Canis lupus familiaris: one gene and its partner. The protein of the gene in region 1 interacts with the protein of each later gene in a pairwise test. Links are inferred from orthologs where the notes say so. Each region holds a gene or a part of one and is shown on either strand. Other genes may lie near its edges. The genes, in order: KIF9 and PRMT6.

Region 1 (3,805 bases):
ACCTTTGCCTAAACTTTTGCCACTGCTGGGAATACCTTCTTATTTCCCCCATCCCTAAACCTGGCAGAACCCTTCACGGCCCTTACGACCAGGTGGTGGGCCTCACCCATGCCGCCTTCTCTTCTCCTGTAGCCTCCCTGACAGAGGAGCAGGCTGTGTCTTTTCATCCTTGTATCTCCAGGTTTTCATGTTGGGACTGATGGCACAGTCTTGGGTGTCTGCTTATTAATTGAGTGCTGCCAGTAGCAAAGCCCTGGCCCACAGCCCTCTCCCTGCCCCTCCCTGCTCCAAGTTCTTGCCCTCGCTTCTCTTTTAGGTATGTCCAGTGGCTTTTCCCCTTCCCTTCCCTTCTCCAGCCTTATACATGCTGGGGTGTGTCTCCTCTGACCCTATCTGAGTCAGCTCAAGTGGCCAGAACAAAACACCATTGATGGGGGGGCTCGAACAAGAGACATTTATCTCTCATAGCCCTGGAGGCTGGAGACCCCAGATTGGAGTTCAGCATGGATGGTTCCTGGTGAAGATTCTGGCTCATAGATGGCTGCTTTCCTGCGGTGCTTTCACACAGCAGAGAGAAAGAAAGAAAGAGAGAGGGACCAGAAAGAGAGTTCTGGTCTCTCTCTCTCTCTCTTTTTTAGGGCCACTAATCCCATTATGGGGGCTTCACCCTCTCCGGACCTCATCTAAACATGATTACCTCCCCCAAGCCTCATCTCCAGATGCCATCACTTAGGAGGGTAGAACTTCAACGTAAGAAGTTTGACAGGACACAAACACTCAATCCATAACAGACCTCCACCAGCCTCGAAGGAATCTCTTGGCAGAAAACCCACATGGTTTATGGCCTTTCCGTGTCCTGCTTTCCACAGGAGGAAATTGCAATATGGTCCTCTTGACGAACATCTATGGAGAAGCCTCCCAATTAGAAGAGACGGTACGTCAAGACTGCCCATGCAACCTAGTTGGAATCCCTTCTCATATGTTCCAGGGCTGGGTAAGGCTGGCTCCAGGCTGGCTAAGCCGGCATATCAGCCATAGACATTGTCAGGAGGAAAAGGATCCAGGGGATGAATCAGCCAAACTTGCTGCTGGAGGCCTGGGCAGAATCCAAATACCAAGTACTAAGGGGCAGAGGCTGTGTTGAGGAAAAGACAAGGCAGGAAGCAGGCACAGTGTGGGGGCCTGTGTGAGGAGTTACACAGAGGGCAAGGGCCAGGCTTCCTGGGGTGCTGTTCCTGTGAATTGGGACCAAGGATAGCTGATTTCTTGTCCTTCATAATTATACAATTAAAAATCTTAGAAGCACCAGAGTTCCAGGCTGTGGTTATAAGGCCAGTAGGAGCTGACAGGTGCTAAGCATGTGCTGTGTATAGGGTGGTGAGGGGTGGTGGGAAGAGCAGCTCAGTAGAGGTGAGTTATCTGTGGCCCTAGGCTTCAGGGTTCCTTGCCATGGCCCTAAGGAACGTGAGCGGCCCAGATGAAGGAGTCCTTCAGAGGAAGAGGGACTCTTCCTCAAACTGGGGTGAGGAGGGTGGGCCCTGAACCGTCTGGGGTTAAAGGCAGTACAGAAAGCAAAGATGCTCCTGGCAGAGGGGACTGTGGGCCTGAAGGTGTGAGCCATGCCAGGAATCTCTGGCCACCACAGGGGAGGCCACGGGAAAAAAGGGGAGAGAAAAACTGTGGAGGCTGCGTGGGCCCCGGTGGCCAGGCTGACGCCTTGGCTCTGGTTGGCTCTGGCTGGTTGCTGGGGTGTCCTGGGGTTTGGATAGGGGAGGGCTATGGCCAGAGTTATGACTCAGGGCGATTAACCAAGCTGCAGGACCCAGGTGACCTGGGAGGGTACAAGCTTATGAGAATCAGAGGTAGTCAGATTGGCGCTAATGGCCAAGGCAGTGACACACATGAGCTCACACAGCTGGGCACCCTGGCAGTGGTTCCCTTCTTCCTCAGAAGGGCCACACATCATATATAAAGCAGATTTGGAAAGCTCTCCATAGATATTTTGTTTTGTCAAGTGCAGATGTTCAGGGCAAGCTGCAGTCATCAGGAGAATCCACTTCGGTGAAATAGGTCCTTTCCAGGCACACTGCAAGGCAAGATGTTCCTGCAGGGCCTCCCAGTTTCTTGCATTAGGGACCATCCCTGTGTCCAGAGAGTGTGTCCTGGGACTTGGAAGGCCAAGGAGGGAGCTCCTGCTGACGCACAGGCAACATCCCCAGAGGGAGGCTCCAGGAACCTCCCAGTCTCATAGCATAACAAAGCACATGTGAACCCCAAGAGGAACCATATGAAAATTGGGCCTCCGACTGCCTTGTTGAAAAATGTCCTCCAAGACAGTGGAAGGCCCCCCTCTCTCTCTCTCCTTGTCCCCACCTCTGAGGTCGTCACCACACAGGAAGCAGGTCTCCTGGTACCTGCCTTCCTGGGGGGTTTGTGACCCAGGAAGGAGCCCGCAGAGCCCAGAGTTGCCGCAGGGGTTTGAGACAAAGGCATAATGGAGTGTGGAAGCTAATGCTTCTCTTTTTCAAATGCTTTAAACCGTTAACACTGTTCCTGTGAAAGGATCATATTGCTTTACTCCTTGACAGTGCATGTATATGTGGGAGTAAACACAGTGAGGGAGTCCTGGCCACACTTCTGGTGAGTGTGGAGCAAGACAGCTTGATTCCAGTCTCATACAGAAGCAGCTGTCTCCTCCTGAGGGCTTGCTGTGAGCCATTTCTGTATAGAACATGTCACAGACTGGGGCGCCCGGGTGGCTCAGTCGGCTAATCGTCTGCCTTCTGCTCATATCATGATGCCAGGGACCTGGGATTGAGCCCTATATTGTGCTCCCTGCTCAGCGGGGTACCTACCTCCCCCTCTCCTGCAACCCCTGCTTGTGCTCTCTTTCTCTCTCTGTCAAATAAATACAATCTTTAAGGAAAAAAAAAAAAAAAAAACATGTCACAGACCTCTTCATTAGCCTCCCAGGCTCTGGGAGGCAGGTTTCCCCAATCTTACAGAGGAGTTAGAAGAAGTTGGTCAACAGCAGAGTTCTTAACCACTAAACCAGACTGCTTGAAGGAAGAGTCCTTTCAGGGCCCCAAGCCAGCCCAGTATGATGTGAGGCTGGGATCTCAGGGCCCCCTTGTGCTACCACTGGCTGTTCCCCGCTGCCAGGGAGCAGCCCTCCACCTCTCATGTAACAACAGTGCAGAGGGGCACAGCATTGGGGCTGTTTCTCAAGTGCCTACTCATGTGACTGCCTCATGGGCTTCTAGCCATAATTACCCCTGCCTGGCTGCCCCTCCAGAGGGACTTGGGAGGAACCCCCAAGAAGGAGACCCCATACTTCACTTTGGAATATGTCTACATGCAGAGATTTATCTTTCCCGGTAGACTCCTTTGACCTGCTTTGCAAATGTCTCTATTCACAGCAATTGGCCAAAGACATAGAGGTCTGTGATCTGTTTTTCAGCTGTCTTCACTGCGGTTCGCCAGCAGGATGAAGCTGGTCACCACTGAGCCTGCCATCAATGAGAAGTATGATGCTGAGGTACTTAGGGGCTTGTGGGCAAGAGTCTCACTGTAGAGAAAGTGTGTGGGTTTGCTGCCGAGGAGACAAGACTGGCTTCCCTTGCCACCTCAACTAAAGATACGCATGCAATCCTCTGTCAGTGGTTTTAGTCCTGGACAGGCCAGAGTCTCCAGGGTCCCTGAAGACCCCCTAGGGGGCCACCCAGGTGAGAGGGCTAGGTCAGGTTACCACCCAGTTCATGTGTGAGGCTTCAGGGCTTCTGATTACCCAGGGCTTCTATATGAG
Region 2 (4,361 bases), on another chromosome or scaffold:
GCAGAAAGACAAACTGTTTTGAAGACTTTTAGCCTTAAATGGTTGAGCCCAGGCCACTGGGGGGGGGGGAAAAAAAAAAGATAATTTACCCGATGAAAATAATGAAGCAAGATTTAACTAAGATCATTTTAGGGAGACACAGTGGTTCTTACTCTGGCCGCACATTCAGATTCCCCAGGGAGCTTTTAAAACTTCATGCGCGGGGCTCCCGTGAAGTGGTTCTGACTTAATTAGTTTGAGGTGAGACAGAGGCACAGGTATTTTGTGAAAGCTACAGCTGACTGTACTGAGGAGCAAGAGAGCCCTCCAAGTACAGCTGAGGATGTCGGGTCAATAAACCTATTCCATTAAACGAGAGATTAACAGAGGGAAGAAAGGGGTGAAGGGACTTTAGTCCCCAAATACGGAATACAGGCCCGTCGGTTCAATGGACATAATCCGAGGCTACCAGAAAATAAAGTCAACTTTCTTCAATGTCTTTTTTTTTTTTTTTTTTTTTTTTTTTTTTGCTGGGAGAGAAGTTTATTCGCACAGTGCTGGGAACACAGACGCTCCCACGGACACCGCACATACTTCAAAGTGTATTTTATTTGTATCGTGAACAACAGGGAGGGAAGAAATGAACCCCTGACAGTTGACTGAAAGGGAAACGGAAGAGGAAAAATACCTCGTCCACGCCAACGACCACGCGGGGAAGCAACCGCGAGGCAGGCGGGCAGCCCGGGGGCTCCGGGGGCTCCGGGGGCTCCGGGGGCTCCGCGGCCCAGCGCCGCCTTCGGCCGCTCCCTCCGCCGCGTGTCTCACCAACGGATAAATAGGGTCTTTAAAAGAGAAAACCCGAACAAGGGAGGGAGGACGGAGCCGTGGAGCTCCAGCGGCGCCCGCCCCGTCACCTCGCGTCCCCGTCACCTCGCGTCCCCGCGCTGCGGCCTGGGGAGCGGCGGCGTCGCCCGGCGGGGCGCGACCCGACTGCAGGGGCTCCCGCCGCCAGGGGCTGGCAGCGCGGCCCTTCCGTGGCCCGGGGTCTCCTCGCGGCCCAGGGCCGGTTCCCACCCGCAGGGCTTTCTTCGTGGCGCTCACACCGTGCGCACCGCCCCTCACCTCGGGGCGCGGCGGGCTTCAGAGCGGGCGGAGGCAGAGGGCAACGGAGGGGCTGAGGGAGAGAGGCTCGCGGAACTCGGGCGCGCGGCGCCGACCCACCCCCCCGGCTCCGCGGGGCGGCGGGGGCGGCAGGGCTGCCAGCGCGGGGCCGCGCTCCGGGCTTCTCCCCCGGATAGTGGGCGGTGCCAGCCGGCACTACAAGTCCCAGAAGCCCCCGCTGCCCGGAGCCCGCGCGGAGCCGCGCAAGGCCCGCCGGGAGTCGGCCGGGGCCGCCAAGATGTCGCAGCCCAAGAAAAGAAAGCTTGAGTCGGGGGGCGGCGGCGGCGGAGGAGGGGAGGGAAGTGAGGAGGAAGATGGCGGAGCGCCGGAGGCGGCCCCGCCGCGACCCCGGAGGGCGCGGCGGGAGCGGGACCAGCTGTACTACGAGTGCTACGCGGACATCTCGGTGCACGAGGAGATGATCGCGGACCGCGTCCGCACCGACGCCTACCGCCTGGGCATCCTGCGGAACTGGGCCGGGCTGCGGGGCAAGACGGTGCTGGACGTGGGCGCGGGCACCGGCATCCTCAGCCTCTTCTGCGTGCAGGCGGGCGCCCGGCGCGTGTACGCCGTGGAGGCCAGCGCCATCTGGCAGCAGGCCCGCGACGTGGTGCGGCTCAACGGGCTGGAGGACCGCGTGCACGTGCTGCCGGGGCCGGTGGAGACGGTGGAGCTGCCCGAGCAGGTGGACGCCATCGTGAGCGAGTGGATGGGCTACGGGCTGCTGCACGAGTCCATGCTGCGCTCCGTGCTGCACGCGCGGGCCCGCTGGCTCAAGGAGGGCGGCCTGCTGCTGCCGGCGTCCGCCGAGCTCTTCGTGGCGCCCGTCAGCGACCAGATGCTGGAGCTGCGCCTGGGCTTCTGGAGCCAGGTGAAGCAGCTCTACGGCGTGGACATGAGCTGCCTGGAGAGCTTCGCCACGCGCTGCCTCATGGGCCACTCGGAGATCGTGGTGCAGGGCCTGTCCGGGGAGGACGTGCTGGCGCGGCCGCACTGCTTCGCGCGGCTGGAGCTGGCCCGCAGCGGCCTGGAGCAGGAGCTGGAGGCCGGCGTGGGCGGCCGCTTCCGCTTCAGCTGCTACGGCTCGGCGCCCATGCACGGCTTCGCCGTCTGGTTCCAGGTGACCTTCCCCGGCGGGGACGCGGAGAAGCCCCTGGTGCTGTCCACCTCGCCCTTCCACCCGGTCACGCACTGGAAGCAAGCGCTGCTCTACCTGAACGAGCCGGTGCCGGTGGAGCAGGACACGGACATTTCCGGAGAGATCACGCTGCTGCCCTCCCGGGACAACCACCGCCTCCTGCGCGTGCTGCTGCGCTACAAAGTGGGCGACCAGGAGGAAAAGACCAAAGACTTTGCCATGGAGGACTGAGCGCGGCCTCCTCCTCCGCCGCCCCCACCCCCAGCCCCAGGCGGCCGGCCTGCGGGGCGGGGTGCAGGGGGCCGGAGCCGCGGCGGAGCCCGGCGCGCAGGTGGGCGCAGCGCCTCCCCGCGCCCTCCCCGCGCCCGGTTCCCGGGAGGCAGGCGGACTGGAGTCTCCTCCTCCCAGGAGGTTCTCCCGGCGATATTTATTTAAAAAGTGAACCCCGAGGCCCCCAACGATGGAAACAGCTTGTTTATTACTGGGCCTCAAAAAGCATGTGGTACCAAGCACTTGTATTTCTGTTTCTTTTGTTTCGCGGGAAGGAAGCCAAACACAGAGGAAGGCTCCGTGCACATCCCTGATGTCTCCCACCCAAACCTGAAGCCAGGGAGAAGGCTAACGGGGTTTACCTAGACTCCATAAATTTCCACTATGACTTAAATATTATCTCTCCAGAGCCATATTCTTTCGTTCTCGAAATTCCCTCCTTTCCTAGGTGCCTCTAGGCTTCAGTGCTTCTTCCTCCTTGTTTTTTTAAATAAACTTTTGCTTCTGGTAATGAGAGGGAGGAGAGTGAGGAAGCAGTTTGAATTATCCTGTTCTTACACTTAACTACTTCCATAGGGTGCTAAAGTCGAACACATTTCTCCTTTTTGAGTAAAATAGGCCATATATAATTGTGCAGCATACCCCCCCCCCCCCCCAACATCAACAAGGTACATTTAGGAGAGAAACATCTGAAAGTGAAGTAGTACGGGTTTTTTTTTATTCTTGATTTTACTATTAAGATTTAACCAAGGCAATGTTTCGTGTATGTTACATAATAAAGTTTTGTGTGACTTTTATTAAACCAGTTGGCAGAAGGCTTTCTGAACCTGACCCAAGGGGTTTGTTCATCATATTGGGTAAATTCTTTAGGCTCTTTAAATTAAGGAAAATCTTTTCCCAGCTAGAGAAATGCACTCACTTAAACTCTCACTTGGGGAGATCATGTGATCTGGCCTACTTACATCAATTGAAATTTCCTTTTTTTAGTGTTGTTGAGTTCTTTTTTTTTTTTCTTTTTAGCTCAGCCAAATGTGAAAGTTGTGAATTTCGGAAAATCATTTGTGATGAAGTGTGAGTCATGTTATCAAATTTATTTCACGGATGTTTCCCTCCTTATCCCTGTGGCAAATAAAACATTGGCATTCTATTTTTATAGATGAAGTAAGAAGTCTTGTGTACTGCGACTTAATAATGCTTTTGCCTACTTAATATCGTCAGTTCTTAAGTGTTACAACCCTTTCGGAATATAGCTTCAGGATAGTTTATGCTTAATGTATGTTTTTTCTTCATACTGGTGGCTTTTGTATGCTGATAGAAAACAGGTGTGAGAAGTGGTCTTTGAAGTAATTCAGTATAGTTTTGTTTATTGTAAATGAGTTTTCTCCTTTATTCATCACATATTAAAGTACTGAAGTATTATAACCAATTTGCTAAAATGTGGTGTTAACACATGAGATCTTCCATTAGGAGAGGAAACATACAAAATCAATGACTTGCCAAGATCCAAGCAATGACAGTGATAGTTGTCACCGTTTTGATAGTTAACAGTCTGTGTAAATGGTGCAGTCATAGTAAAGTAGGCCTGATTTAAGCTGGAGGTATAAAATAAGTCCTTTTTATTTTTTAGGGTCAACTATATAAGATGAACGTTTATTTACAATACTAATGTATGATTTTGGGTAGATTTCTGATGCTTTTTTTGACTTCCTGTAACAATCCATTTGCTATGTGGGCAAACAAAAACATTCTGAATTCCAGTTTTTGAAATCCCTTTTATAAATGTGCAGATACTATGGAGTTCTCATCACTAGTA

Evidence for each region.
Region 2: the proteins of KIF9 (region 1) and PRMT6 interact in a two-hybrid assay, tested with the Homo sapiens proteins (2 studies listed by BioGRID and IntAct). The link is inferred for Canis lupus familiaris from reciprocal best matches to the Homo sapiens genes KIF9 and PRMT6.

Annotation. Positions count from the first base shown.
Region 1 is NC_049241.1:42,013,752-42,017,556, forward strand, and holds part of KIF9 (kinesin-like protein KIF9), read left to right. Parts: intron 1-869; coding exon 870-934; intron 935-3,460; coding exon 3,461-3,538; intron 3,539-3,805. UniProt on the Homo sapiens protein: Essential for normal male fertility and for progressive motility of spermatozoa.
Region 2 is NC_049227.1:44,890,094-44,894,454, reverse strand, and holds PRMT6 (protein arginine N-methyltransferase 6), read left to right. Parts: upstream 1-1,338; 5' UTR 1,339-1,378; coding exon 1,379-2,509; 3' UTR 2,510-3,970; downstream 3,971-4,361. UniProt on the Homo sapiens protein: Arginine methyltransferase that can catalyze the formation of both omega-N monomethylarginine (MMA) and asymmetrical dimethylarginine (aDMA), with a strong preference for the formation of aDMA.